2 linked regions of the Ovis aries genome follow. The protein of the gene in region 2 interacts with the protein of the main gene of each other region in a biochemical or structural test. Links are inferred from orthologs where the notes say so. Each region holds a gene or a part of one and is shown on either strand. Other genes may lie near its edges.

Region 1 (7,861 bases), on a different chromosome or scaffold from region 2:
GGTAGGGCTGGATGATGGGGTAGAGGCTGCAGACTCTGGGGAGCAGGTTCAAGGTGCAGTAATGACCAGGGTGTGAGTCAAGGAGATTTGCCTATATCCTAGGGGAGACTCAGACATTGTTCTGTGATTAGTTGCTCAGGCGTGTCTGACTCTTTGCAGCCCCATGGACTGTAGCCCGCCAGGCTCCTCTGTCCATTAGATTCTCCAGGCAAGAATACTGGAGTGGGTTGCCATGCCCTCCTCCAGGGATCTTCCCAAACCAGGGATTGAAACCAGGTCTCCCACGTTGCACATGGAATCTTTACCATCTGAGCCACCAGGGAAGCCCAAGAATACTGGAGTGGATAGGCTATCCCTTCTCCAGGGGATCTTCCCGACCCAGGAACCCTGTTGGGGTCTCCTGCATTGCAGGCAGATTTTTAATCAGCTGAGCTACCAGGGAAGCCCAGACATTGTTCTACCACCAACCAGTTCAAGAATGAGAAGAGAACAGAGTTAGGGGCTTAGCACCTGTGGCTGATGCCGCCAAACCCTAGCCTGCCTAGATGCTCCCGGCTGCCCCCAATTCCACTCCCACCCCCAGCTGCCAAAGGTAAAGAGGCAGCAGGGACTGGTCGCTAAGCAACAGGAGTTTCCAAAGTAGAGAGTGATGCAGAAGGGAGACTCAGGGGAGGGCACTCCGATGGAAGATGGGCAGACCGGGGCGAGGGATGAGGGGGAGAAGGAAGAAGTGGCAAACTTTTTCCTGGATCAAAATTCTATCCGAGTCTCTGTAGTCACACTCTGAAGGAACATCTGAGTCACCTACCCCACTCCTCTGCAACTTGAGAGAAAAACACAACGTGATGGAAGAAAAGGGGAAAGCTTGAAAGGTCACGGGAACCAGACCTTCTCTGCCTCTGGACCTGCCTTCTACTCACCTCTTCATTGAAGGTCCCTGTACCACCCAAGCAGGGCCTGGAAATCTAACCCCCACCCGTTGCAGGTTGGAGCTGCTGGTCTTTAACCTAAAGAGAAGCACTATCGTGCCTGATATTTTCAGGAGGGGTAGGGAGGAGGGGAGGGGAGTCTCAATTCACTTACCAGATCTCATGCCTAGAATTTTGTCTCCAAAACTCTGGTCGCCTCCCTCTATCTCCCTCCCTCCCAATCCAGTTACTGTCCTACACTCATCAGTTCCAAGGTCCTCTGTCCTCCTCTGATGGAGCATGACTGTTAACTGGTAACGAATCTCATCCCAGGGCCTCCAGGAGAGATAGGCTTAGAGAAGGATGATATGCTCACGCTGTGGCCATCAAGCTGCCCTTCCTCCATGTCCCCTTCCTGATCTGACCCTGGACAGGAAGGATTCATCTTCCCTGGGGTCTGAAGCCAGGCCACTGGAACAGGTGGCAGGCAGGGCCCGAGCTGTAAGTGTCAGGACTGAGCCTTCCTCCCCATCCCACTCTGGCCTCACTACTTCCTCCCCATGACTCAGCCCTTTCCCCACCACCCCAGGGCACCCACACTCCATTCCAGACCCCAACCAGGAGCAGATGTGACCTCCGAATCCATCCCAGCCTCAGTCAGAGATCCTGCCAGAGGCAAGGCTGGGGAGGTGGGATGGGTGAGAACACTGGCTAAGATCCTACAGCCAGGATGTTCCAAGCCTCTGGGGTCCCTTTCCCTGCCTTTGACCCCATCCAGAGTCGACTCTGTCCTTCACACACATGCACAGTCCCCCACATCCCTCTCCACTTTCACTAATCTGCTCTCCACTCTCCAGAAGACTACAGCTCAACTCCCAGCATCCTCCATTACCCCCTCCCCACTGGCCCCACCAGGCATCCCTCAGGCCCCACCCCACGCCCCCGGAGTTTCTCAGACCATCAGCCTCATAGCTTTCAAGAATCTTTATTGAACTTGTTCAGTATTGTGCTCACATCTGGAGGAGCCAGGGTGAGGTGATGCGCCCACCGCCAACAGGGAAGACCCCAGCTGGCAGCCCACCCCTGCCCCACACCTGAGGAGCCTTCATTTTTTCCGGGGCTGCTTATCAGGGAACCCTTCGAAGAACTCATTGCACATCATGGCGATGCAGGACAGGAAGACGCAGTACTCCTGGAAGTCCACCTCGTTGTCCTTGTTGCAGTCCAGGTTGCTCATCAGTTTCTGGAACGCAGCTTCATCCGTCCTTTTCTGCAGGAGGAAGAGGCTACAGGTGGAAACCGGAAGCGAGGTCGGGGTCGGGAAGTGGAGCAGAGCTAGCACCGGGTGAGGTCTGAGCTCCAGACGGGAGCTCAGGAGGACACAGGCACCCCTGCGGGGCCTGGCTCTGGACCTCCAGCCCTAGGGGCTAAGCTACCCCTCAGATGAAGTCTGAGGACCTGGGTACAACTGCGTAAAGGAGACCACAGCCTCTTCTGCCAAGGTCATTTTAAGAGTCCAATCATACAGTGGTCATGAAAGCAATAGATAAACAGCGTAAAGGTTGATACAGACGGCATCTGGGATTGCTCAAGAGAATTCTGTAAGTGTGTGAGTGTCTCCAGAGAACTGTATCTTCACGTCCACAAGCCAAACAGAAACTCAAAAATGGTTTATGGGGCGGGGGGATGGTGATAAAATAGAAATATGAGGTTAACAGATATACACTACTGTATATAAAAGAGATAAGCAACAAGGATTTACTGTATCACACAGGTAACTGTATTCAATATTGTGTAATACCTTATAATGGAAAAAAATCTGAAAAAATAGATATGTGTATATATAGCTAAATCACTTTGCTGTACACCTGAAATAAACACAGTGTAAATCAACGATATTTCAACTTAAAAAAAAAAGGCATATAACTTTCACAGAATCTTAAAAAAAAACAACAACAAGTTTCATTGCTGGAGTGATGGCAAGAGTTTGACCATCGCAGTTCATGATCTCAGCTTTAAACACGGACTTCCTTGGGAAGTTACTTAGCCTCTCTGAGCATCAGTTTCCCTCCAGGGAAGTTGTACAGAGCACCATACCCTATCTGCTCACTCTGCCCTCTTTCTGAGGGTGCTAGGAAGTGAGCTGTGGGTGCTCACCGTGCTTTGGCCCCAGGCAGCCAGGGTAAGCTCTCTGCCTGGAAATTGCCCGTGTCAGCAGCAGATGCCAGCTGTAGGTAATGCTTCACAGAGGACGGGTGCCTCCCAGGCAGTATCACTCACCCCTAAAAAGCTGGGCAGCTCCCGGGTCAGCAGCTCCTTTAGCTCAGACTTGTTGAGCTTGAACTTGTCACCCTCCTTGCCCGAGTACTTGTGGAAGGTGGACACCATCACATCGAGGGCCTTCTCCAGGGGGTACGCCATGGCAGCAATCAGGAGCTGGGGGCAGGGTCACAGAGACAACCTTATTTTCCCCACCCCACCCCCAGCTATGTATTTGTAAATGCCCCCCACTCCCATCCCTCAGGGAGCACATTGGTGACACTGCTCCCATCCAGAAAGGGGTTCAGCTCCTAGCGGGAGAGGGAAATGTATGCTTGGGGCAGTGAACCCCTGCAGGGCCTGGTGCTCAGGCTCCGGGTTCCAGGCAGCCAGCTCCCCAGGAGCACTTTCTCCACCCTCACTTGGTCCATTCACTCACTGGTACGCTCAGCCCACAGCAGCCCCACCCCAGCCCATTCTTTCCCCCTCCCAACACTGGGCTGGGTGAGGCTGCTGGAGGCTTGCCCAGGGGCCTAGCGGAAAAAACCAGTGCATAGGGAGGGGCAGGGTGAGGTGGCAGAGGCACGGATGCAGGGCAGGGACGGGGAGGCCACCCTCCCTTGGGCTGGGCTGCTGGTGCAGGACCGAGGCTCCTAGGACATAACCAGCCAGAGCCCACAGGCGCCTTCTGCCTTCACTGTGCTTTCCACATCCAAGTGTGCCACCCAGCAGACACCAGCCCACACACCCACCAGTGTGTACAGCAGCAACAACGCACGCAAGCCCCGGCATCACAGAACCCCTCAGACAGTTCCCACCAGCCACCTCACACTTGTTGTTCTTTCCTGAGTGCACACGCACTTGTGCACACGCACACCACCCACCCCAGAGCCTCCACATCGGAATCTCACATCTGGACCCGTTTAGTGCCTCTGGCCCCCATCCACCTCCCTTTCTCCTGCACCCAGCCTCGGCCTGACACCTCTTGCATGCCAGTCAGGCGACCACAACTCACCAAGAGAGAGGAAGTGCTGGGGAGAGATGATGGGGAGAGAGGAAGAATGGGGAGAACCCAGCAGTCTGACCTATTTATACCCGGGCCAGGCCCTGCCCATGGCAGGGGATGCGGGAGAACAGGACCCAGCCCTCCTATCGTGGGCTGATGTGGTGAACGCCACGGCCCCCCTCCACCCCCCTCCACCCGCCCAGCCTGGAAAGCTAGCTTCCTGCCCCAGCAGGCACAGACGGACATGGGAGAGCCCCAGGGGCACAGGCAGGGGCCTGGAGGGTGGGTGTGCACAGCTCAGCTCGAGTTTTAGGGAGCTGGGGGGAGGGACAGGTTGTGCCTGGGGCATGAGGGACAAGGAGGACGTGGTCCCACCAGGCAGCCAGCATAGAGGGGTGGAAGGTGGCAGGTGGGAAACTGCCCTGGGATGCGGCAGCCTGAGAAGACAGGGAGGGCCCCTCAGTTTCGGTGCTGGGGACGGCTCACGCTGCCCTGCACCCCTCCCCAAAGAGCTTCCTACCTTGTGGAGTGAGCCCCGGGACAGTGGGAGCTGGGGGTCTGGGAGGAGGAACTGGCTAACACCCAAAGGAGGCTTGGGGACCCCCCGCAGGCACATCCTTGCAGAAAGGCGCTGGATGCCAGAGTGATGGAATGGGGAAGGAGAGGCATGCCTTGGGGCTCAGGGATGGACTGAAGGGACCGAGAGCAGTGGGGTGGCAGAGGGCGTTGGGAGGGGGCTTAGATTTGGCAGAGGGCTTTGGGAGGGGGCTTAGATTTGGGCTGGGTGTCAGGGATGAAGAGGGCAGGGAGCGGAGGAAAGTTAGAGGTGATGCAGCACAAAATGAGGGGAGGCAAGGATCAAGGGAACCTCCCAGGGTAAGGTATGAGCTCAGGGGTTGAGGGAGGGTCAGGAGTCGGGGGTTAACCCCTCAGGTGGCTGTGGCTTCAAGGAGAGGGGTCTGCCTGAAGGTCTCTCTCCTTCCCCCTTCAGCAGCAGAGCACCCCTCCCCAAATGATCAGGGAGCAACACCCTAGTCCAACCCCTGATCAGATTAGTGCTGCACTCTGGGCTCTCATAGCCCAGGGGCCGGGGACAGACCCGCCCTCTCCCCTACGGCCCCACCCTCCTCCCAGAACATCTGGTCTGGGGGACTGAGTTTGACCCTCCTCTCACCTCCTTCACAGCCCAAGGGAGCTTCTTCTTCAGAGACCTGCCCGATACAGACAGACAGACAGACAGAGAGCCCCCCCCGCAAACCATCCTCCCATGGGCATCGTCCCCGAGTTGCCCCCATGCCTTCCTGCTGGACATTAGGACCATTTCATTTCCGCAGGGTCTGAAACTGCCCTCAACCTCCTGTCCTCCCGTGGAAAAGTCCAGGGAGGGGTGACGCCCCAGTGGGACTCTGTCCCCAGGCCGTCCTCTCAGAAGAACCAAACAGAGCCAAGTGATGCCAGTTCTTTATTAGGAACAAAAGGGGCCTTTGCCGCCACAATCTCTCTCCCAGACATGCTCTTCTGGGCCTTGACAGCCACCACCGCTGTGGCTGGTGGGCGGAGGCAGCGGCTGGCTGCTCTTCAAATCACTAGCTGTGATTCTGGGGATGGTCCCCTCGTGTCTCCTGGACCCATGGGTTGACACACCAGGGGCAAACCTGGGAGATTCTAGAAGCAGGAGCCTGGGGGGCTGGGAAGGGGAGAGCTGACGTGCCCAGGATGACCTTGGGGCAGAGTCAGAGCGGTCGAGAGGACCCCAACCTCTGCCCTCTGACAGCAGCCCTGCCCGTTACTGGGAGCAGGAGGGCTTCAGGGGGCTGTCCTTCAAGTACTCATGGCAGCAGATGCAGAGGCAGGCGAGCAAGCGCATGTACTCCACAAAATCCACCTGGCCATCCTTGTTGGTGTCCAGGGCACTGATGAACTGCTTGTAGTCACACTCCCGGAGCGTCGTCTGTGCGGGGTGGGGCGGGGAGGGATGAGGAGGCAGGCTGAGGAGGGCAGAGCAGTCTGGTGCTCACATCCAGCTTCCCTCCCCTCCACGCCTCCTCCCCGCCATCAGCAACCCACGCCCTCAGCCTCAGCCTTAGCCTCCCTGTTCTGAGGATTCACCGTGTCAGTTCCCCTCCCAAATCCTCTTTCTCAGCTCATTTACAGACCGCCAGCTGCGAGTCAGGCATTCTTCACAGAGCTCTCCCTCAGTCCTCCCAACCGCCCTTCCACAGTCTGGGAGGCGATTTTCCTCCACTTTACAGATGAAGAAACTGAGACTCCGGTTGTGCCCATTTCCCTCCCAGCACCCCTCCCCACAGTCTAACTTCCACCCCCTTGTGCCCCAGACTCGGAGCAGGGTCTTTTCCCAGAATTCAAGCAGTGCTTCCTGGGGGCTCGGCCCAGGTGCTCACCGGGGCCCAGGTAGGCAGCTCCTTCTCCAGGAGTTCCTTGAACTTCGCCTGGCAGAGCGAGTTTCCAGAGAACTGTGAATATTCCTGAAAGGTTTTCACGAGAGTAGCCAACGCCTGCTCCAGAAGACTGGCCATATTGACTGTCATGGAACAAAGGTGGGACTCATGGCAGAAGCCGAGTCAGCCCCTCTTCTCACCGCTGCACTTCAAGTGTCCCAAGGACTGAGCCCAGACATGATTAACCCCCTACACGCTTCCGACCCCACAAGCTCCCCCTCCTCTGAGCAGCCCTCCTTGACTACACCAGCTCCTCATTTATTTTCCAACCGCCCCCACCCTCTCCCACCACCACCGCTTGTTCCATTTCTGGACAGAGGCCTTAATTGCCCGACATCACTGCAAACCCCTCAGGGAGCATGGCCCACTCGTCACCTCACTCCCTCACAGTGGTGGTAGTTTAGTTGCTAAGTCACGTTGGACTCTTCAGTGGCCCCATGAACTGTGGCCAGTCAGGCTCCTCTGTCCATGGGATTCTCCAGGCAAGAATACTGGAGTAGTTTGCCACTTCCTTCTCCAGAGGATCTTCCCGATCCAGGGATCAAACCCTGGGTCTCCTGCCTTGCAGGGGTTCTTTACCATCTGAGCCACCAGGGAAGCCCCCACTATTGTCTCCATCTTTTATCATCTGACACCCAACAGTGGCTCGGTCCAGCTCTGCACCACCCTCTGAGACACAGCCCCCTGAGCCCAGAATCTTCCTCCCCTTCAGGACCCCAGAGCCAGGAACCTGCACGGAGAGCCTTGCTCTGGGCTCCCAGCCTCAGGTCCTTGGCAAAGCTGAGCACCCTTGGAGGGAGTCAGGTCTCAGAGGAACCCCTACAGTCTCACCACCACCCCCTCACCATCCCATCTGTCCTGAACTCAGGGAAGCTGCATCCAAAGATCTACTATGCCTCTGACTAGCTGTGCAGGTGAGAATGAGCCATTTAAGGTCTCAGGTGTCTTATCTGTGAAATGGGGTTAATCCCACCTCGCAGACCTAATCAGGGACCTGAATCAGATGGTCTCTGGAGACAACCAGCTCCGGTCCGGACCAGTCTGTGATCTACCCCAACTATAGTCATCCGCCTGACCCCTGAGGGTCTTGAGACAGAAGGCTCTGCAGACAGGTACCCCGCTCTGTTAGAGGGGAAGCCCTTCCCAGAATTGCCCACCCACCCCCATTGCATTGGCCCCTCCCACTGCCCTCCTGCGAGATGCCTCCAGCCTGGGGAAACCCTAAGGCA
Region 2 (8,057 bases):
CCAAAATGCTTAATCTTAATGTGAAGTGGGTACAAAGTTCATTGCTTGAAAGTATTGGAAGAGATTACTGATCACTTACTCTGTGAGTAGCTACATTTCTAAGGGTCACTTAGTTCTTCAGTGTAATTAATATAATGTAACTATCACAATGTTAAGGTTAATAATATTTAATAACAGTCAAGTTTATTAATTTATTGTGTACTCACTACAAGTAGGATCTGTGCTATTGTTTATGTATCTTACCTAATCTGCTTTACAGCACGTGGGTATCTTTATTCTTATTTTCAGATGAGGAATCCAGAGTCTTTCAGATATTAAGTAATTTTCTATATGGTGGAATTTGTATATGAAAACTCAATTGGTTTGAATCTCAAGTTCATACTAAGCACTCAGTCCCTATGATGCTATGTTATGTTCCACACCAATGTAAATTATCACCCTCTAAATTTCCAACTGGAGAAAAGACAAAACAACTTCCAATGTAAAGAGCCCACTTTCACTTAAATGTGAAACACTTTCAATGATAGGTGTGCACAACTTGCCTTCACCTCAATAAGAAGAAGGGCTTCCCTGGTGGCTCAGCTGGTAAAGAATCCGCCTGCAATGCAGGAGACCTGAGTTTGATCCCTGGGTTGGGAAGATCCCTGGGTTGGGAAGATCCCCTGGAGAAGGGAAAGGCTACCCACTCCAGCGTTCTGGCCTGGAGAATTCCATGGACTGTAGAGTCCATGGGGTCACAAAGAGTCAGACGTGACTGAGCTACTTCCACTTTCACTTTCAATAAGAAGAAAGAGGAAGAAGGAAAAGAAGGATGAGAACAGAATCAAAACCTATGACAGCAGAAAGATATACCAGCCTAGGCAACAATCTGCACACTAAACAAAATCTCCACCATCTTTTGAAATCTGCTGGTAAGAATGTGAGTCTGTCTGAATCACAGTCACCTCATCCACCAAAAGAGATGACCATGCAGGCCCCTGCTTCACCCTGGAATGGGCAGGGTCATCTTTCTCATCTGATTTTCCACTCTCGGTCACACCTTGTCTTCAGGTATTCTTTTCATTTACACTTGCTTCGGGGAAGACCATTGAGTGACCTCTCCATCTTTCCACAATGCTTTCCATGATACACAGAACAAAACTAAACTGCATCCTGGTTTTTCATGGCACTGAATCCTTCTTATCTGATATAACAGACCTACTTTACTCTGTATCTGACTTTCACCTCCTTGAGCTACTGGCAACTGGTCATCATTTAATTATCTCCCTGCATAAAATGGAAAACAGGTGAAATATACAAAATATTGTCTCAACAAACGTCCAATAGGAGCAAAGACATGAGTCATGACTGTTTATTTTATCCTACTAAATGTAAGGTACTATTTAGCCTCCATTATTATGACATGTCATTAAAAAACACGCAACTTTAAAAAAAGTTTCCCAGAATTAGGACACATGCCACTGTGACCCACATTCCTAAAAAGAACTGTTTTACTGGAACAGTCACGGAAGAGACAGATACCTTCAGGACAAAGAAATACTTAGAACAATGCTTTTTTCTCTTCTTCAAGTCATGAAAAATCAAGTTATGGAGTTGTCTCCACATCGAAGTTAGTCAAATTAATCAACTCTCTCCCTCTCTCTGCACTTTATCTACTTGTCATGATTAAAATGCTCTACTAGGTTCTAAATGGACTCTCAAAGCTGGCCCATTCTGTCTTGGGATTCCAGAAGCAAAATTTTGGTCACCACTCTTCATCCAATGCCAATATGCTATCAGCAGAGATTATTCCTTTAGGTTAAATATTATTTAACCTAGAAATTCTCTTTTCAAAGAGAAGTTTAGTCTAAATCCTTTTATCAGAGTGGGAAGAGAGTTTAAGAGTGAGATGAGGTTGAAGATGAATCTATCTGGCTCCTGCCATGACCAGCTGTGTGAAGTCCTCCCTGCCTTGTAAAGCTGACATTTGTCCCTCTTGTAAAACAGGGGAAATGATACTTAGACCTCCCTAGGTTTTGAGTGAGGTGGTATTGGTAATATTTTTAGTGTATTGTTCTGCCAAAAAAAAAAAAAAAATCAATAAATAACTTTGACAAGGACGGGTCCCTGGGCCACAAAAAGACATTGGACGGGAGGTGGTTGGAAATTCTGACCACTTCACCGTAGTGGGTGGGGAAGGGCCCCCGGGTGAGATAAGGTAAATAAAGCAGCTTCTCATTAGGAGGTGGGCTCTGTAGTCATATTATGACCGTTATTGTTAAAGACATCGGGCCATTGTTAAGTCACTCCTGATCTTAAGTTCCTTTAACATTTTAAAATGGATTTTTTTTCTAGTTAATTCCTGTCTGTGGTAACACTAAGATCAACCAAAGTATATTCCGAGGATTTTCAGATGGGTTGAAAGTTCGGGACTTTTGACTGTCAGCTCCTAGCTCCGAAACTCCACTCCCGGCCCTTGTATGGATCTGGTAATTTATTTTTGATTTTTCAGCTTGCAGCGAGAGGTTTAATTTTCACTTCCTTCCAGCGGCTCTCTGCGCTCCGGGGAGGTGGGGCGCCTGGCATCCGTGTGTGGTTTTCGGGTAGTAACTTCTTCCCGGGAGGCCGCCCGCCTCCACCCTCCGCGGCGGCGTGACGTCACGGGAGATGACCGGCATATAAAGCGGCAGGTGCGCGCAGCACCTCCGGAATGTTCGCACACCTGGCGCCCGAGCCTGAGCCCAGGGAACCTGAGCCCAGACATCCCGAGACGAGCTCCAGGAGCTGCCTCCAGCGCCCCAGGCTGGCCGGGCCTGCGAGCTCGGCCACGCGGCTCCCCGCGTCCCAGCTCTCGGCCACCACCGCCTCTTCCCGCCCGCAGCTCCCGGCCGAGTTGCCCCAGAGACCGCGACGCCGCCGCTCCGAGGGACCAATGAGAGCCCCGCTGCTGCCGCCGGCGCCCGTGGTGCTGTCGCTCCTCATCTTCGGCTCAGGTGAGGACATCCCGGCTCTGAGCTGCCCGCAGCTTCTCCCACCGAGGGCAAACAGGTCTCCTCTTGGATTTTGCTGCTGCTTCTCAAAAAAAAAAAAAAAAAAAAGAAAAAAAAAAAAAGAAAAGCCGCCTCTGGGTGTCCCCCGACTCTGTCCGGTGGAAAGTAATCGACATACCGGCCCCTCCTATGGAGGTAGAGAAAAGAGGCCGGGTGTCTGCCAGCAGGAGGGTGCCTGAGAATCTTTGTACTCTCACTTTAGTCCAGAGGGAAGGAGAGCTTAGAGATCCTGTGATCCAGACCCTTTCTTTTACAGATAAAGAAACAGAGGTCCAGAGCGGTAAAGTGATTTCCAGAGATCTTGGAGGAGAGTAGTTAAGTCCCAGACCAAGGAGTTCTACCTCCTACCTAGATTCTCCGTCTCCTCTGTCAAGTGATTTTGTTTTTACCATTCTAGAGGGCCTGGCATCGTCCCAGGGAGAAGTTCTACTTAAAAGCACCTCTCTAACACTGTTTTGAGACCTAAAAAAATCCGCCTGCCAAGCAGGAGACGCGGGTTCAAGCCCTAGGTTGGGAAGATCCCCTGGAGAAGGAAATGATAATTCACTCCAGGATTGTTGCCTGGAAAATTCCTTGAACAGAGGAGGCTGGCTTGCTACAGTCCATGGGGTCGCAAAATAGTCCTACACGATTTAGCCGCTAAGCAACAAACGATAAAGCAGGGGCTTGAAACTGGCCCCCAAGTCTTACTTAGTCCCTAGTTTCTTCTCTATGTGAGGGCAATAATAAGAGACAATGACAGTAAGAAAATTTATTACCAGCTACTATTCATATTACTTTTCACATTTGATATGCATACTCTTTTTAAAAAGGTAAGCATGTGTTAAAAAGATATTGGATTTATCTCTAGAATCTGTTTATTAAAATGGAACAGGTAACATTCTATTGTATATATGTATATGAAGTTATAGTCATATTGTTACCTCTCAAATAATTATATTACATTAATTTGCCTATTTGGCAGGTTTTTTATGTGGAAATTAATGTAGACTATCTGTGGAAAAGAAAACCTAAATGAAAGAAGCTCTGTAATTGGGACAGTTGAGTTTGCTTGTTGGCAGAGTATGAAGGAGCTTTCATAAGTGACTCAATCACAAACAATAACACATGTGCAGTCACTGCTTTGAAGATAAACATTCCTTCCGAACAGAATTGACTGGAGAGAAAAGGCACCCCGCTTTACTTTTTCTTTTCTCCTCTTATTCTCACTCTCATAGCCCATTATACTGCTGGATTAGATGTCAATGACACCTACTCTGGAAAAGGAGAACCATTTTCTGGGGACCACAGTGCTGACAGATTTGAGGTGACCTTAAGAAGTGAGATTTCCTCTGCAAGTGAAACGCCTCCTGGTGGCGAACTGTCCTCGGCGTTCGACTATGACTATGCAGAAGAGTATGATAATGAACCACAGATATCTGGCTATATTGTAGATGATTCAGTCAGAGGTGAGTAGAGGAGAAGGTGACAGTATAGCCTATAAGATATGTGGTTTGTATGAGCAAAGCTGCTTCAAAAGAAAAGCCTCTCCAAGATCTTCCAGTGGCTTTCTTGTGTGTGACTGTTGTGCATCCCACTAGTTAAGCTGGAAACTGAGATAGAAAGAGCTTTTAGTGGGCACAACCTTTGTGTATGGAGCTCTAACAAGCGTTTCATATCTGGGAAGTCTAATCTTCACAACTTTATGAGGTAGGAATTGTTACATTTTACAGCTGTGATAACTGAAGCTTAAGAAGGTTAAGCATTTTGCCCAAAGTTCCACAGCCAGAATGAGAAACTCCAATCTGTTGGATTTCAGATACTCTGCCAGATGACCACTCCCCCATGTGAGAAATCAATATAGACATCAACCAATCCCATATACTTTATATCTCAGCTTTTATAGCCACTCCCCACCACCATTTTTCTCTAAATTACTGCAGTTGAACACAAATAGGGCTTCCCTCATAGCTCAGTTGGTAAAGAATTTGCCTGCAGTGCTGGAGACTCAGGTAAGGGAACAGAAAGATGTAATGGGAAAAGAATGATTGGATCTTAGCCACTGTGTATTGTGCTGCGACACTGGTAATAATAATAGTAATGTCACTTTCTGGAAATATTAAAGAACAAATATGCATGGATTTTATGTCACTAAAATCTCTGTTTAACCCCAAATCTCATTTGTCAGTTAAATAATAGTGACCTATAATTTCTTCTCTTCTGCTGTTAACTGATTTTTCAAAAAGAGCATTTACTTAAAATGAGGGTACCAGAGAAAGAGGTCACTGTTGTTCATTACTCTCATATTACTTTGGAGTTTGAGGGCAGACGAGATCATCAGTAAATCAGATCTAAATATCCTAGGAGCATCCATTATGAAGGCAAGGTTTAAAGCGTCTTCTTTCCTGATCTTAGTTTCCCTGACTCCTCCTCTCTGTCTAGCTCCCAGAACTGGTGAAGGAATAGCAAGTGATAACATGAAGACAATGACAGGTGGGAAGAGTTTTATCAAACACTCCATTTTCCTCCCTTGCTCCACACCTCCTTTATGTGCTTTTACATAAGGTGGGAAAGGGGTCCATCTATAATTCTTATTTTGGGAGGGGAATGAGATGAGACCATTTAGAAATTTTGCTCTTAAAGATGTTTCAAGTTAGCATTTCATAAGGCCAAATGAATTGATGATGATGAATGAAAATGGTTAGGGGCCAAAATTACAATGCACTGTAAAATACAGTGAAAATTGATCCATGAAGATAATGTCTATTGGAATACTTCAGCATAGTGACTATCTCTGTTTAAAATTTGTAATGTATCTGTAAAGTGCTGTAATATCGATTTAAAATGTTTCTGTTAGAGGAACTGTTCTAATTTGGGGTACTTTTCTTATCATCAGAGGGAAGTTTCAACACAAAAATTGCATAGCCACCTATTAAACATTGCTCCTAATTTGACTATTGTTAATGTTGATATAATGACTGCTAAAACACTCAAAGTACTTTATTGTTTATTACCTTAACCACAGGGCTCCAGCTTTGCTACCCTTCCTTATGTTTCTAGAGTTCTCTATTTACCGGGCACTGCAGAACCATTATGACTAACTTTATTATGACTTTATGACTCTTTTCTCTGGGCTCACTAAATACTTGCTCAGATAAACTTTTGCAGAGATTAGTAAAACAAAATGCACAGCTCTAACATAGAAACTCCTCCTTCCTATATTTAATGTGTGGGTAAATTATACCCTGCATAGCTATAACACTGAACAAAGGTTTCTGTGAATCTGAAGAGTTAGGATGAACCCATGAAGCGTCAAGTACAAATATTTATGGACTTCTGTTTTTCAAATAGATTGGTCACAGAAATTAGCCCCCAGAAAGTATCAGTTAATTATAATCTGTTGTAATCTGGGAGTTGAAGAAAGTTAACTCTAATGTATAATTCTGTTTTCTCCACCTCAGGTAATACACACCAATTCCCAACTATGATAGCACAAGACTGATATGAGTAAAGAAAATCACCAAATGTACTCAAACCCCACTTTAACTAATGGAACTGAGCTTTTCCCAGAGAAAACATAATAAAATTGGGTATTAATAGGTTTTAACATCCCAGCACTGCCATTTTCTAGCTACTGTCTTAGTGCAATTTACTTGTCTTTACTCGACTCTACTTTTTCTCATCTGTATCATGTAGATAGTAATAATACATTCAAGTGTGATTTGGGTTTAATTAAATTAATGCTTGTTACCAAGAGCCTGGTATGTATTAAAGTAAAAACAAATGTTTAAAATATTTCATGGATTTTCTTAGACAAGTAACTCCTATTATTCCTGTTATCAGTAATAATAATGCTGATACAAATAAATCAAAATATGTTTTTAAGCTAATAAAATAACAAATGTGTTCAAATTCTAAGTGCCACATAGTACAGATATTGTCTTTGTTCAATTAGGTATATGAGTTGTGTTAAAAAATGTGACTGATAAGGCTGTTACCCTGTGAACTTTCACTGCTAGGACATTTTTCTCTCATGTCTTCAAAATGGTGTTCCACATAAAGAGAGAAATAAAGATTTATTTGTCAATAAATCTTTTCTTTTCTGTTTTATTTTTTTAGTTGAACAGGTAGTTAAGCCTAAGAAAAACAAAACGGAAAGTGAAAAGACTTCAGATAAACCCAAAAGAAAGAAAAAGGGAGGCAAAAATGGAAAAAATAGAAGAAACAGAAAGAGGAAAAATCTGTGTGATACAGAATTTCAAAATTTCTGCATTCATGGAAAATGCACATTTTTAGAGCAACTGGAAACAGTATCATGCCAGTAAGTTGCCTTAAATCATATGGAATTCTATATTTCTAACACTGTGTATGAAACCCTTAGTTGCAAAAAACCATTTTTTTTTCAATATATAAACCAATAGTTGGCAAACTTCCTTAAAGAAGCAGATATGAAATATTTTGGGTGTTGTGGGTCAAGATTATGTACGGTTATCATATAACCAATTAAAACATGGCCATTTAAAACTGTAAAAAAAAAAAACAAAACCATTTTTCAGCTTACGTGCTATAAAAGACCTAGCAAATGGCCAGATTTGACCTGTGGGCAATAGTTTGCTGAACCCTGGTGGAAATCATCATTTTGCAATATATATTTTACAAAACCTCTTGATAAAAAAGGAACTAAGGTAGTTTTCACTTAATGTTCTTGCTTCCTTCCCTCTAAAAGCTGCTAGCACATTAAATGGTAGTAGAATGTATTAGGTGCATAACAAGCCACTGAATTCATCAGTTGGTCATATAAGGAGCACAAAGAATGAAAAGGCGTGTCCTCTTGGAATATCACACCCAGACTAATCTCAACTTGTTCTTATACTAATAGACCTTAGGCCCGAGTGCGTTCTACAGCTCATCATTTTGAAATACAAATAAATGCCTGGACTGATTTTTTGAATGCTAGAATTAATGATGGTTTGTGATCAGGAAAGTAAATGTAAAATTTATTGGAATCTTTTCAGTGATTATAATTTTAAAATGTGGGTTATTTGCAGA

Evidence for each region.
Region 1: the proteins of AREG (region 2) and S100A4 form a complex in vitro, tested with the Homo sapiens proteins (2 studies listed by IntAct, with this or other methods). The link is inferred for Ovis aries from reciprocal best matches to the Homo sapiens genes AREG and S100A4.

Annotation. Positions count from the first base shown.
Region 1 is NC_056054.1:104,000,381-104,008,241, forward strand, and holds S100A4 (protein S100-A4), read right to left. Parts: upstream 4,341-7,861; 5' UTR 4,183-4,340; intron 3,345-4,182; 5' UTR 3,330-3,344; coding exon 3,189-3,329; intron 2,179-3,188; coding exon 2,014-2,178; 3' UTR 1,878-2,013; downstream 1-1,877. Other genes in the region: S100A3 (protein S100-A3), read right to left, coding at 5,960-6,124, 6,576-6,710. UniProt on the Homo sapiens protein: Calcium-binding protein that plays a role in various cellular processes including motility, angiogenesis, cell differentiation, apoptosis, and autophagy.
Region 2 is NC_056059.1:90,127,440-90,135,496, forward strand, and holds the start of AREG (amphiregulin), read left to right. Parts: upstream 1-2,686; 5' UTR 2,687-2,689; coding exon 2,690-2,972; intron 2,973-4,246; coding exon 4,247-4,477; intron 4,478-5,450; coding exon 5,451-5,501; intron 5,502-7,127; coding exon 7,128-7,329; intron 7,330-8,056; coding exon 8,057-8,057.